Canis lupus familiaris: one gene and its partners. Each later gene encodes a partner of the first gene's protein in a complex. Links are inferred from orthologs where the notes say so. Each region holds a gene or a part of one and is shown on either strand. Other genes may lie near its edges. The genes, in order: DIAPH1, PPFIA3 and PFN2.

What was found.
Region 2: the proteins of DIAPH1 (region 1) and PPFIA3 are in contact, whole or in part, in a crystal structure (PDB 4UWX), measured with the Mus musculus proteins. The link is inferred for Canis lupus familiaris from reciprocal best matches to the Homo sapiens genes DIAPH1 and PPFIA3. Residues at the interface, in NP_031884.1 of Mus musculus: Lys252, Ser255, Ala256, Ile259, Gln307, Asn310, Ala311, Thr314, Pro315, Ala316, Glu317, Arg322, Gln352, Cys354, Val355, Glu358, Gln359, Glu362; in NP_084017.2 of Mus musculus: Pro719, Arg720, Arg723, Leu724, Arg726, Met727, Ala728, Ala730, Leu731.
Region 3: the proteins of DIAPH1 (region 1) and PFN2 are in contact, whole or in part, in a crystal structure (PDB 2V8F), measured with the Mus musculus proteins. The link is inferred for Canis lupus familiaris from reciprocal best matches to the Homo sapiens genes DIAPH1 and PFN2. Residues at the interface, in NP_031884.1 of Mus musculus: Ile635, Pro636, Pro637, Pro638, Pro639, Pro640, Leu641; in NP_062283.1 of Mus musculus: Ala2, Gly3, Trp4, Ser6, Tyr7, Asn10, Ala28, Tyr30, Trp32, Arg108, Met131, Tyr134, Leu135, Ser138, Phe140.

The regions. Positions count from the first base shown.
Region 1 is NC_049223.1:35,631,159-35,634,899, forward strand, and holds the end of DIAPH1 (protein diaphanous homolog 1), read right to left. Parts: coding exon of another isoform or gene 3,732-3,741; intron 2,079-3,731; coding exon 1,921-2,078; 3' UTR 130-1,920; downstream 1-129. UniProt on the Homo sapiens protein: Actin nucleation and elongation factor required for the assembly of F-actin structures, such as actin cables and stress fibers. Binds to the barbed end of the actin filament and slows down actin polymerization and depolymerization.
Region 2 is NC_049222.1:108,003,514-108,007,254, forward strand, and holds the start of PPFIA3 (liprin-alpha-3), read right to left. Parts: upstream 2,603-3,741; 5' UTR 2,457-2,602; intron 2,175-2,456; exon of another isoform or gene 1,912-2,174; intron 356-1,911; exon of another isoform or gene 343-355; intron 1-342. UniProt on the Homo sapiens protein: May regulate the disassembly of focal adhesions. May localize receptor-like tyrosine phosphatases type 2A at specific sites on the plasma membrane, possibly regulating their interaction with the extracellular environment and their association with substrates.
Region 3 is NC_049244.1:45,210,263-45,214,003, forward strand, and holds the start of PFN2 (profilin-2), read right to left. Parts: upstream 2,364-3,741; 5' UTR 2,284-2,363; coding exon 2,152-2,283; intron 38-2,151; coding exon 1-37. UniProt on the Homo sapiens protein: Binds to actin and affects the structure of the cytoskeleton. At high concentrations, profilin prevents the polymerization of actin, whereas it enhances it at low concentrations. By binding to PIP2, it inhibits the formation of IP3 and DG.

The DNA of each region.
Region 1 (3,741 bases):
CTGTGCAGGCTCAAGGGCAGAGGCCCAAGCAGGGTGTTTGGCACATGACAGGCACCTTAAACTTTTTGACACTTATTTGTCAGGTCAACCAGGGATTTGGAAAACAGCTTAAACTCACAAAGCAGATGGTAAGGTAATACTGTTTCAATGCTTTATTAACAACTGGAAACAAACCCAATAAACTGGAGGTGATGACATCCCAGAAGCCCAAGAGGCAAGGGAAATAGTTTGCATTTTGTTTTTTGTGTATTTTTTTATTAAATGCATCTTAGCAAAAGTAGATTAAAAAAGAAAGGGTCAAAGCCCCAGATGTCAGCAGGGAGGAGGAGCAGACTCAGGGAGGCAGCCTCCCCCTCACCCCCACCTTCTAGGAAAGAGCTCAAAGGAGCTGCTGTTGCACCTTCACACACAGGCCTGAAGGCTGAGCCAGCACCCAGGTTCCCGGCCTGAAAGCCTCCCTGCAGGAATGCTTCGGTCGCCTAAGTCCCCCCTTTGCTCCAAAACTTGAATTCTGGGTAAGCCGTAACAGTACCATTCTCTCTCCCTACCTGGGGGGTGGGAAGCTGAAAGCACAAGGAGGGCAAAGTGTCACCTGGAGCCAGAGAACCTGAGCTTCCTGGAGCCGGGGCTACTGAGCAGCTTGGTCTGCCCACTGTTCAGAAGGGAGCAGGGCTATGCTGTGTGGCCATACTCCTGTGCTTACTTGCCCAGGGCCCAGTTAGCATTTGCACATTTGGCTTGATAAATATATTAAATTTATAAAAACTGTGGTCTCAGAGCTCCCATTATTCTTAGGCCTGGTTCAGCTCTACCAGAGAAGCTGTGCCCCAGAACTGGATAATGGGAGAGAGAATCTACACAGGCCAGGCTTAGGGCTGAGGCAAAGGTCCAAGGTCCTGCTCAGGATTGAGGCCTGTGGGGATAAATCCCAGGGATGCTGGGACCTTGCTATCAGAGCCTCTTACACTATGGAGGGGAAAGGGGAAAGGAATAGTTATTTTCTTTAAAAAAAAAAAAAAATCTCATATAAAAATAGATCCATTTGCAAAACAATTTCTCAGCCAGGAGGCTCCACCTCCCATTTCCTTGGAGACAAAGGGTGAGGTGTTGGGATGGTCACAGTACAGCCCATACTCCAGATGAGATGCACCAAAGCTTGGGGGAAGGTGTGAGCAGTGACCACGGCTCAGGAGCCCAGGCAGGTATAGAGAGTTCACAGAGGCAGAGTCATAAGACATGGCAGCAGGCTGGGGATGGGTCCCACAGTGTCTCTAGACATTGCCTCTCCACAGGCTCTTGGCCACCATAGAACAGATCAAGTGGTCCAGGTCCTTTTTGTTTTGGGAGGCCGTTCCCAGGAAGGTGCAGTAAGGGTGGGGCTTGCTCCCCACTTCTCTAGGCATGGCTCCCACGGTCACACCACTAGTAATAAATAACAATAACCAGGAAAGGGAACAGCAGAGCAGAGGTGACAGCAGTGAAAGGAGGGAGAGAGCCCAAAGGTGCACAAGCCCCATGCTGTTGGCAGGGCTCGAGAAACCACAAAAGAAAAGCACAAACCCAGTGAGATTGACCCAGGGGAAAGCCCACTGGAAAGGCAGGGGCTGGGAAAGCAGGTGGGGCCTCGTCTGAGACAAGGCCTCAGTGACAGAGAGGAGACACTTGGGGTTAAGGCAGCAAACACGGAGCCTGCTTTGGTAATACGACAGCCAGGCTGGCTGGGTGGGGCTCGGGCCTCCCTGCTCTGCCCTCTCCTGCTGGCCTCCCGGCAGCTGAAGCTGTGCTGATGGACATAGGAAGAGGGTCAGGGTGGTAGCAGCAGCCGCCCCAGAGGAATACTTCCGCGACCCTGGAGGCACATGCCACAGGACCAGACAGTCTGGGGCTCCTGGAGGAGCTGCTATGGCCGTAGGACCCAGCTTAGTTTGCACGGCCAACCAACTCCTTGGTTTCCTCCAGGATGGTGGGGACCCCCTCACTTTTCCTGGGCACCTTAGAAGGAACAGCAGTCATGGCGTTGTCCTTGGTCAGCTCCGAGGCTAGCAGAGACGTGACTGCACACCCGGCCTTCCTGTTGGCTGCAAAGAGGAGACATGAAAGAGCTTGACCACACAAGGCTCAATTTCCAATCCCTTTCCGACACTCTGGCAGAGGCTCAGCCTGAAGCCATGCGAACGAATGTGGCTGCACTCTCTGATTCAGGGAGGCCCCTATTTGAAAGCAGGAGGGGCGGGGATCCCAGAACACGGGGAAGAGATTTTCTCTGTGCAGAGAATGTTAAGGGCAGGGTGCAGGCAGGAGAGCGAGCCTCGCTCGTGCTTCCCTGGGTGGACACTACACGGGTGTCAATGCAGCCAGCCAGCCAGAACGTGGAGCCAGTCTGCTGTGTAACTTAAGGAGAAATTAAGTACTCAAAATGTGTGTTCTCATCACAGGGTTGTTGGAGTTAAATAGCCCCAAGGTTAGTAAAAGAGTATTATTTTTGTTTTCCTGGCAGCGTCCAGGGATCCTCCTGGGCCAAAACCATTTTCAGCCAGCCCTGCGGATGGCTGGCCCCAGCAGAGGAGGGCCTGCTGCAGGCTGCCCGGGGGGACTCCTGCAAAGAGGAGCACAGCAGCGGCCATGCACTGCCACCACATGCACATCACATTCCCCAGTGTTCCCCGAGCCTTCCTTTCCTCTCCCCATGCCTACATCCTAGCTCTTTCCTGTTTCTTCAAGGGCAGCAGCTGAGATACGCATGCCAAGGGCCCTACAAGGTATGTATGTATGGGGGGTGTGGGAGCGGGTGGGTCATGAGAGCTGTCAGGGAATGCAGAGCTGGGGTCAAGGAAGGCCAGGACCGCCCCCCACAAGGCAATCTCAGCCCAAAGGGCTAAGGGATTGTGAAGCTCCAGTTGTCATCTTAGGAAGAAAAGAACCAATCAACCCACGGGTTTCTGTTCTAAGACTCTCGTGTTAATTTATGGAATGAAGATACTGGGACCATAAATCTGCAGCACAAAGGCAGTTCCTTGGGACTGTGCCCAGCTCATGCTCTCTGCCTCTTCCCATGCCCTACAAGCAGCAGAGAGAGACCACATGTACACAAAGAGCTGCCTGCCGGGGCTGAAAGAAGCCAGACACGAAGGCCACATGTGCTAGGAGTCCCATTTCTATGAAATGTCTAGAATGACACATCCAGGGAGACAGGAAGTAGATTTGTGACTGTCAGGGGCTGGGGGAAATGACTGCTCATGGCGATGGGGTTTCTTTCTGGGGTGATGATGATAATCTGGAATTAGGTAGTGGTGATATCTGCACAAACTTGTTAAAATACTGAAGTACATACTTTTTAAAGGGTGAATTTTAAGCATTTGATTTTATCTCAAACCCCACTTGCTGGCTCGTGGGCAAGATGACTGAAGAAAGCAGCGCCTAAGGCTTAAAGCAGGGCCAGTGAGAGGAGCCCAGAGCTCTAACAGGAAGACGGCAGGGCTGGGGCAGCTCCAGGACATGCACGTGAAGGCGAGGTCCAGAGGAGGTGGCGAACGAAGCACCCAGAATACCTCTGCCTTGCCTTGTTTAGACCAGCAAGAAGCTTTAGACAAGACAGAAGCCAAACAGGGTCAGTAGGCCCAGCTTTTCAGCGGGGCTGTCAGCTTCTTCAGAAATGTGACGCAGCACCACTGTGTTCACACGACAGAGGCCCCCCGACAGGTCAGGGAGCACACGGCATGCCCACAGGTTACCAATTTATAG
Region 2 (3,741 bases), on another chromosome or scaffold:
TCTAGATGATAGACAGAAGGCAGAAAATAGGCTCTAGAATTCAGAACATGCCCTGGAGGTGGGGGGAAACCCTAGAAAGTAGCAAGGAGTTTGCCTGGAACTTAGAAGTGCCTGGGGGAAGATTCAGAAGCATGCTGGGAATTGAGAATTCACTGGCATAAGGACTGAGCTGGCAAAGGAAGGGGGGGAGAGATGTTCTGGAAATGAGGACATTTCTAGCTGAAGACTCCAAAAGAGGAGATGAGCCTAGAGCATGCTTAGAATGCTAAAGTGACAGATGGAGGAGGAAGCCCACAATCCTCCAGGAGATAAGTTCTAAACGAAGGTCACATTAGGGAAAAGATGGACCGAAAAGGTGGGAATGGATGAGCCTAGAACCTAGTACCTGAAAAAGGAAGATGCACAACACTTCAGGAAGAATCTTTTAGATTTAAGACTGTAGAACTGGGTAGACCTAAAATAGGAAAGTACATTTTAAAACTGATAGCAGAATGTGGAGAAAGGCTAGAGCACATAATTGGAACACACATATTCTAGAATATAGAATGCCCCTGGGAAGATAACAGAATCTAGAACAATGCCAAGGATGTGGCTGGAACCTAGAACACACCTAAAATAAAATTTAGCAGAGAATAAGCAAGTGCTAGTTTCTAAAAATTTGGAACATGTGTGAGGAGGAGGTGGGATCAGAATTTGGTTTGGGGCATTATCAAGACGTTTAAATTCCCCTGGGGAAACACATGCCTAGAATTTAGTATTTAACCTAGAATTGAGAATATACCGTGGGTGCAAACAGAACAGAGATATTGGCTGAGAGTGCTCTAAGATTTAGAAGGATTCTAGAGCATGTAAGGGCACAGTTTAACTGGGAATATGGAAGATAGTGGGTAGGTTCTAGATCATCTAATGAACCTAGGTCACAGAATACATCTAGAGGAAGGGGTGTATGTTTGGCCCATCATCTTGAGAAGGTGTACTCAGAGGATGGAACATCATGACATAGAAACATCATGATAGGGTGCTGGAAACATGTCAAGAAAGTAGGTCTCAGGGAACAGAGTAGAGAAAAAGAGAAGACAGCTCCCAGAGAGCCCAGTGCCTGAGATGATATGGGGATGAGGCATGTTGTTAGTTGTTAAGGCCACTAGAGATGTCAAGTTGATGGGGGTTGTAAGGCTGGGGGGACCTGGAATCCTAAGAGCAAGAGCTAATGGGCTAGATAGTTGGTGGGGGGCTGGACTCCTGAATCGTTGTGGAGATAAAGGACAAGGGATGGAAGCTGGGAGCCTGAGTCCTTGTTGGGAATGAGGGTTGCAGCATCTTTGGTGGGTAATACAGAAGCCGGGGTCTGAACTCCTGGGTCCCTGAGGGGATGCAGGACCAGGGACAAAGCATCTAGGTCTGCAAAAGGGAAGGTGGGCAGAAGCCAGAGAATTGCATTAAGAATTACATTCCAAGAGAGTCATGGTGCCTGAATCCCTAAGCAGGCAGATGTTGAGATGCCAGGAGGCTGGGTATATTTGTCTCGGGGGCACAGGGGACTGTTGAGCTGGGTCTCTAAAGGGGGTGAAAGCTGGGAAACTGGATTCCCAGGTCCTGAGCAGGTGGGGGTTACCAGTTGGGGCCTCAGCCAGACGGAGTGAGCACTGACAGGGCTTCCAGAGCCAGGTGGGAACTGGATCCCTGGATGCTAAGATCCCTAGGGTGGACCAGGCAGGAACATTCGGAAGCCCTGACTCCTCGAGAAGCAGCTGGGATCCCAGAAACCTGGGGTACTGAGCACTGGCCAGAGGCTCACCAGCGGAACCCTGAGGCCCAGGCGCCCAGGTCGGAAAGGGCCCGGGTATCTCCGGGTCAAAGGCGCGGCGGGGGGTATTCCCCGCGCCGCAGGCGCCCCCTCCCCGGCGGCAGCGGCCGCGGGAGGTGGGGGAGGTGAAGCTGCCGAGTGCGCTGACCATGGACAGCTCCGGAGCGGGCCTGTGTCCAGGGCGGCTGCCGAGCCGGCCTGGACCGAGGGACGAGGCTGGCTGTTCAAGCCGGAGGCTGGAGATGGGCACACCGGGTGCACGAATAGGCGACTATGCACACCCGACGGGGGGCAGCTGGCCCTAGCTGGGGGTCTGACACGGCCACGGCAGGTATTAGGAGCTCCGGGCTGGGCCGAGGAGGAGGATGTAGGTCCAGAGGGGGCTGCCGGGGCTGAACTGGGAAATCCAGGCTCCTGGGCCCTGGACGAGGCGCAAGGCAGCAGTACGCCTGGGATTCTAGGGTTCGGTTGGGGACTCTGAGAGCCGGGAGGGGCACGCCTGAGTCTCTGGGGTTGGGCTGTGAAATCTGGGCTCCGGAGCCCCCGGGGATAAAGAAGGGAGTCCAGGATCTCGGGAAAGCGAGGAAGGCTCGGCGAGGGGTCCCCGGGGTGGGCGCTGCCAAGCTGGCTGGGCCGGGCTCTTACCTACCTGGTCCGCGGCGGCTGCGGGCGGAGCTGGGCTGCAGGAGGGACGTGGGGTGGGGTGGGGGGACCGGGCGGGGCCCCTGGCGGCGGCCGGGGCCCGGATCTGTGGCTCCGGAGCCCTGTCTCCGCCGCTCGCGCGGGCTCCGCGTCTCTGGCTCCGGCTTGGGCGCTGGGGACCCCCCCTCCCCCTCACGGTCTCACAGCCCTCTACCCCCTAAAATAACCCCCTGCCCCTATCACCGTTCAGTCTCCCCCCGCGAGGCCGCAGCCGCCAGATCCAGGGGTGCCCACCAGCGCCCCCCAAATCCCACCTCCCCCCCAAAAAAAATTCCTCCTCCCTCCCCCCCCCCACCAGCTCCCGTGCGGTTGTGGCCCCTTTAACAGGAGACTGACAGACGGCTCTGAGTGGCCAATGGGAGGCGTCGTCGGAGCCGGCCGGTGGCTAAACCCCGCCTCCGCACGGACTGGGAGGGGTCGCGCGGGCGGAGAGCGGAAGGCGGGGCTCGAGGCGCGTCGGCCAATAAGCGTGCGGCGTGCGGCGGCTGGGGCGGGAGGCGGAGCCCGGCAGGGGGATGATGTCACCTGGAGCTAGTGGCGCGCGGCGTGGAATGCGAGTTGCGACCCCGGATCCCGGAGGTGGCGCGCGCCGGCCCTAGCGCCGCACGGGACGCGAGGGCTGGACCAGCGATGAGGTGGGAGTAAAGGGTGGATTTTAAGGCGGGGGCGGCTCCCGGAGGCACGCGCTCAGGTTGGAAGGTGGGGTGAATGCCGGGTCTGCGAGTGCACCTTGTTCTGCACCCCCTGCGCCCACCTCAGGAACTGCACGCGGCACTCCCACCCCCCACGCTGATGATAGTACGGCCTGCAGGGCTCCCCTGGCGAACGAAGCTAATGGTTCGCTCCACCCCGCCCACACAGAGGCCGCCCACCGGCTCTGCAGCTTCTCAGGTCTCCTCTGTCAGACCAACCACAGAAGGGGCTTGGCCTTCGCCCTCAGTCTCTCTTAAGGGCAGGGGGCGTTGTCTTTGGTTATGACCTCGCACTCGGACCCAGACAAGGTCCCAGCCTCTGCCTTGACTTATGCTTAGGAAGCCGGCCAGCCTCCACCATCAGATCTTGAGGGAAAGTCTCTACCTTTGCTCCCAGACTCAAAAGGGTTTCTTCCGGGCCTGTTCTAGACTTCAGCTTCTCTCCCTCCCCTACAGCTCAAGACACTCTAACCCCAGAATGCAGGACAGACACGCAGACAATCAGTGAGGGTCAAAGATCTTTAAATAAGGAGCCGGTGA
Region 3 (3,741 bases), on another chromosome or scaffold:
CCCGGTCTTTTCCTACAATCATATCTATTTCTACTGGCTGCCCCGACCAAAAAAAAAAAAAAAAAAGAAAGAAAAAAAACATGAAGTTGTAATTAATTCCTTTCAAGGTCTCCATATAAGTGGAAAAACTGTGTGCTAAGTCTGTATCCTACTAGAGGTCCTTCCCCATTTCACTAGTGTAACATGAAGTTTGTCTTTTCCAAAGAATTACTTAATCCTACACGGCTGCATGTTTTACATCACTTTGTTTCACAGGTAAGGTACTAACTGAAGACCAGTCTATGCGAAGAATCTATGTGGTTGCTAGCTGACACCAGGTCAACTGCAAACGGAAAGAGATTATTTATAAACTGTTTCAAGTCAGATGGCACCTGAAGGGCTTATGTAATGGTAAAGCTTCACCTACAAACTCTTTCAGCAACTGCTTGTCTGTCACATTCAGGCACATTACAGTCACGCTGCATCAAACTTCCAGTTGCTTGAAAGTCTCCTGAAATAATGCCCATGCTCAGCAGACCTGTCCCCGTCTCCTCTGCTTGAAATGGCTTGAACCGCCTTCCTGGTATGGATTTCAAACCCTAGACCTCCACACACTCCCAAATTCGTATTTCCCTCCTCTCTATTTCGCCAGCCGCTCTCTTTATCCTCTCCCACTTCCCCTTCCCCTCCCACCTCAGTCAGTCATCAGTTTTCTTTCTTGGCAGATGCAGGAGAGGATTCTCTTGGTAGGTAGCATTGCAGTAGGAAAGGGAGAAAACAAAAACAGAGCCACCACCACCAACACACACACACACACACACAAAAAAAAGAGAGAGAGAGAGAGAAAATGGAGGGAGACTGGGAAAGCAACTGAGGTAGTCCCCCGAAACCGGAAAGGAGAAAACGTGCATTCTAACATTCCCTGAATAAGGAGGAAGGCGTCGCCCCCATCAGAACTGCAGAGTCATAGCAGGCCCCAGCCATTTCCAAGCACATTCCCCGCAATCCTCCCAGCCAGACAGCGGGAACTCGCACACAAAGACCAGGGCACCGCAGGAAAAAAGTTGGTCGCCAGACAGATGCCAATTCTCTGGAACCGCTGTGGTCCGCTGCGGCTACCGGAGACCTCGAGGTCCCCGCACCCGGGGCGGACGCCCACACACTCAGATCCTAGAGCCGGGCTCACCAGGACGCGAGAATTAGGGGCACCCGTCACGGGGGGCCTCAGGCTCGGCGTGGGATGGGAGAGGAGCGTGGGGCTCGGAAATTACGGGAACGCTCCCCGTGTCTGACACAGCGTCACGGCTCAGACGAGGGCCCTGCGCACAGAGAGGCACAGCAACAAAGCGGCACCGGAGGCCGAGGAGCCGTCGCCCCCAAACATGTGGCGACCGAGTCCACGCCGGCGAGTCACAGGGAGCCCGGGCCCCGCGGAGCGTAAACCTGCATCAGTTCCTTCACGATGCCCGCGGCGGGGGGAGGGACCTGGGGCAGCCCGGCGTCCCCTCGGCCGCACGGACGGCCGAACGCCCCAGGAGCGCGCCCCCCGATGCCAGGGCTGGGTTGCGTAATTGGGGATAACGGTGTATCGATGAAATCTCCACAGGAGGAGGAGAGAAATCAATGGCAGTTCGCCATCTTGGGAGAATTTAAGAAAAAAAAAATAATAATAATTCAAAAAAAAAAAAAGCCCTATAGAGCCAGAGGCGAAGTCGAGATTCGCGAAGCTCCCTCTGCGTGGCCGGCGTCCGTGGCTCCCCAGCCGCAAAGGCCTGGACGCCCGCGAACCGCCGCAAAGTGGCCGCGAGGGGCCGGGCGCCCGGCGGCCGCCGCCTCCCACAGCCCGCGCGGCGCGAGGGGCAGCCCGGCCGCCGGAGGATCCCCCCCCCCCGGGGCCCGCGTGCACCCCGGGCCGTGCAGGGCACAGCGCGGGGCTCGCGGGAGACCACAAGCAGCCGCCCCCCCGCCCGCCCCCCGGCCCCGGCCGCCGCGCGCCCCCTCCCCCAGCTCCGCGGACCGGCGCCCCCGGCCTCGGCCGCATCCTCGGCGCCGGCCGCTCCCACACCTGCCGCGCGGCCCTCAGGGCGGCCCCCGCCCGGCCGGCCGCGCTCGGGTCCGGGGACCGGGACGGGGACGGGGACGGGGCCCCGGCCGGCCGCCGCCGGTCCTCACCGTGATGCTCTGGAAGACGCCCCCGGCCGTGGCTGCCCAGACGTATTTGGCGTCGCAGTAGCCGACAATGGCGGCCTCCTGGCAGCAGCCATCGCACATCAGGTTGTCCACGTAGCTCTGCCAACCGGCCATCTTCGAGCCCTTCGCACTGCAGCGGGGACGGCGAGGAGCAGCAGGCGCAGCGGCGGCGGCGGGCGGCGGGCGGCGGCGGCGCGGGGGGGGCGGGGCGGGGGCGGGGAGGAGGCGGCTCTGCGCAGGCACCGACCGCCCCCCTCCCCGAGGCGCCGCGGAGGGAGGACGCGGGGACGGCGGCGAGGGGCGACCGCGGGGCGCGCCCGGCCTGCCCGCCCGCCCGCCCGCCCGCCTGCCCGCCCGCCGGCCGCCGCGGCGCTGACTGACCAGCAGCGGGGACGCCGCGCTCGGAGCGCCTGTGCGGGCGGCGGCGGCTGCTCCTCGCCGCGGCGCCTCAGCCTGGTCCGCGGCCGCGGCGGAGCGGGCGTGCGCGTGCCCGTGCGTGTGCCCGTGCGCGTGCCCGTGCGTGCGATCCTTCCGCGGCGCCGCGCCCGCGGGGGTCCCGGCCAGGGAGGCGGCGGCCGAGGCGGGGGCGCGGAGGGATACCGCCGAGGGGGACAATCGCGGCCGCCACGTGCGGCGCCGAGGCCCGGGCGTCTCCTCGCCGCCTCCGCCGCCGCCGCCTCCTCCAGCCGCGGGGCCGGGGGGTGGGGGGGAAGCCCGGGGCCCCCCGCGACCGCGCCGTGGCGCGCCGCGCGGCTGGGGATGCGGCTCCGGGGCCCGCACGGCCGCGTTGCCCGGGCGACGGGATGGGAGCGTTCGGCGGGGGCGGGGACGGCGGGACCCTGCGGCGGGGCTGCCCGTCTCCCCGCGACCTCTGGGCGCCCCGAGGGGACGCCCGACCAGGAGGTCCCTTTTGGGTGAACGGACGCGACCCGCCAGCCGAGGGAAAGAGGGAAGCGCGTTCAAAACGCCGAAAAGTCCGTTTTCGAATTTAAAGGTCACGGGGTGTGACCTCGGGAGAGAAGACAAAAAATGTTGCTGAAGCAATTTAATGGGTTCTAAAGTTTTCTTTCTTTCTTTTTATTTTTTATTTATTTTTTTAAAGGTAGAATATTTTTTTATTTTATTTATGATAGTCGCAGAGAGAGAGAGAGGCAGAGACACAGGCAGAGGGAGAAGCAGGCTCCATGCAGGGAGCCCGACGTGGGATTCGATCCCGGGTCTCCAGGATCGCGCCCTGGGTCAAAGGCAGGCGCTAAACCGCTGCGCCACCCAGGGATCCTTTTTTTTTTTTTTTTTTTTTTTAAACCCCTGCTGTTTGCTTTAAAATTTTTCTGAAATCAGCTACTGCAAGGGGGGGGGGGGAGCACACTAGGAGGAACCCTCCCCTCCCCCCCCCGCAGGAACCCCCAAGTCAGGAACCCAGGAGATGGACACGGTGCATTTTTCTCATGTTCTGATGGTAACAAAATACCTACGAGGTACAAAATGTGAGCCAAAATTGTTTTCGTTTTTTGCAGGTGTGCCGCCCACCTGATCCACTTACACTTGCTGGTTGGCTACCTTACCTCTTTG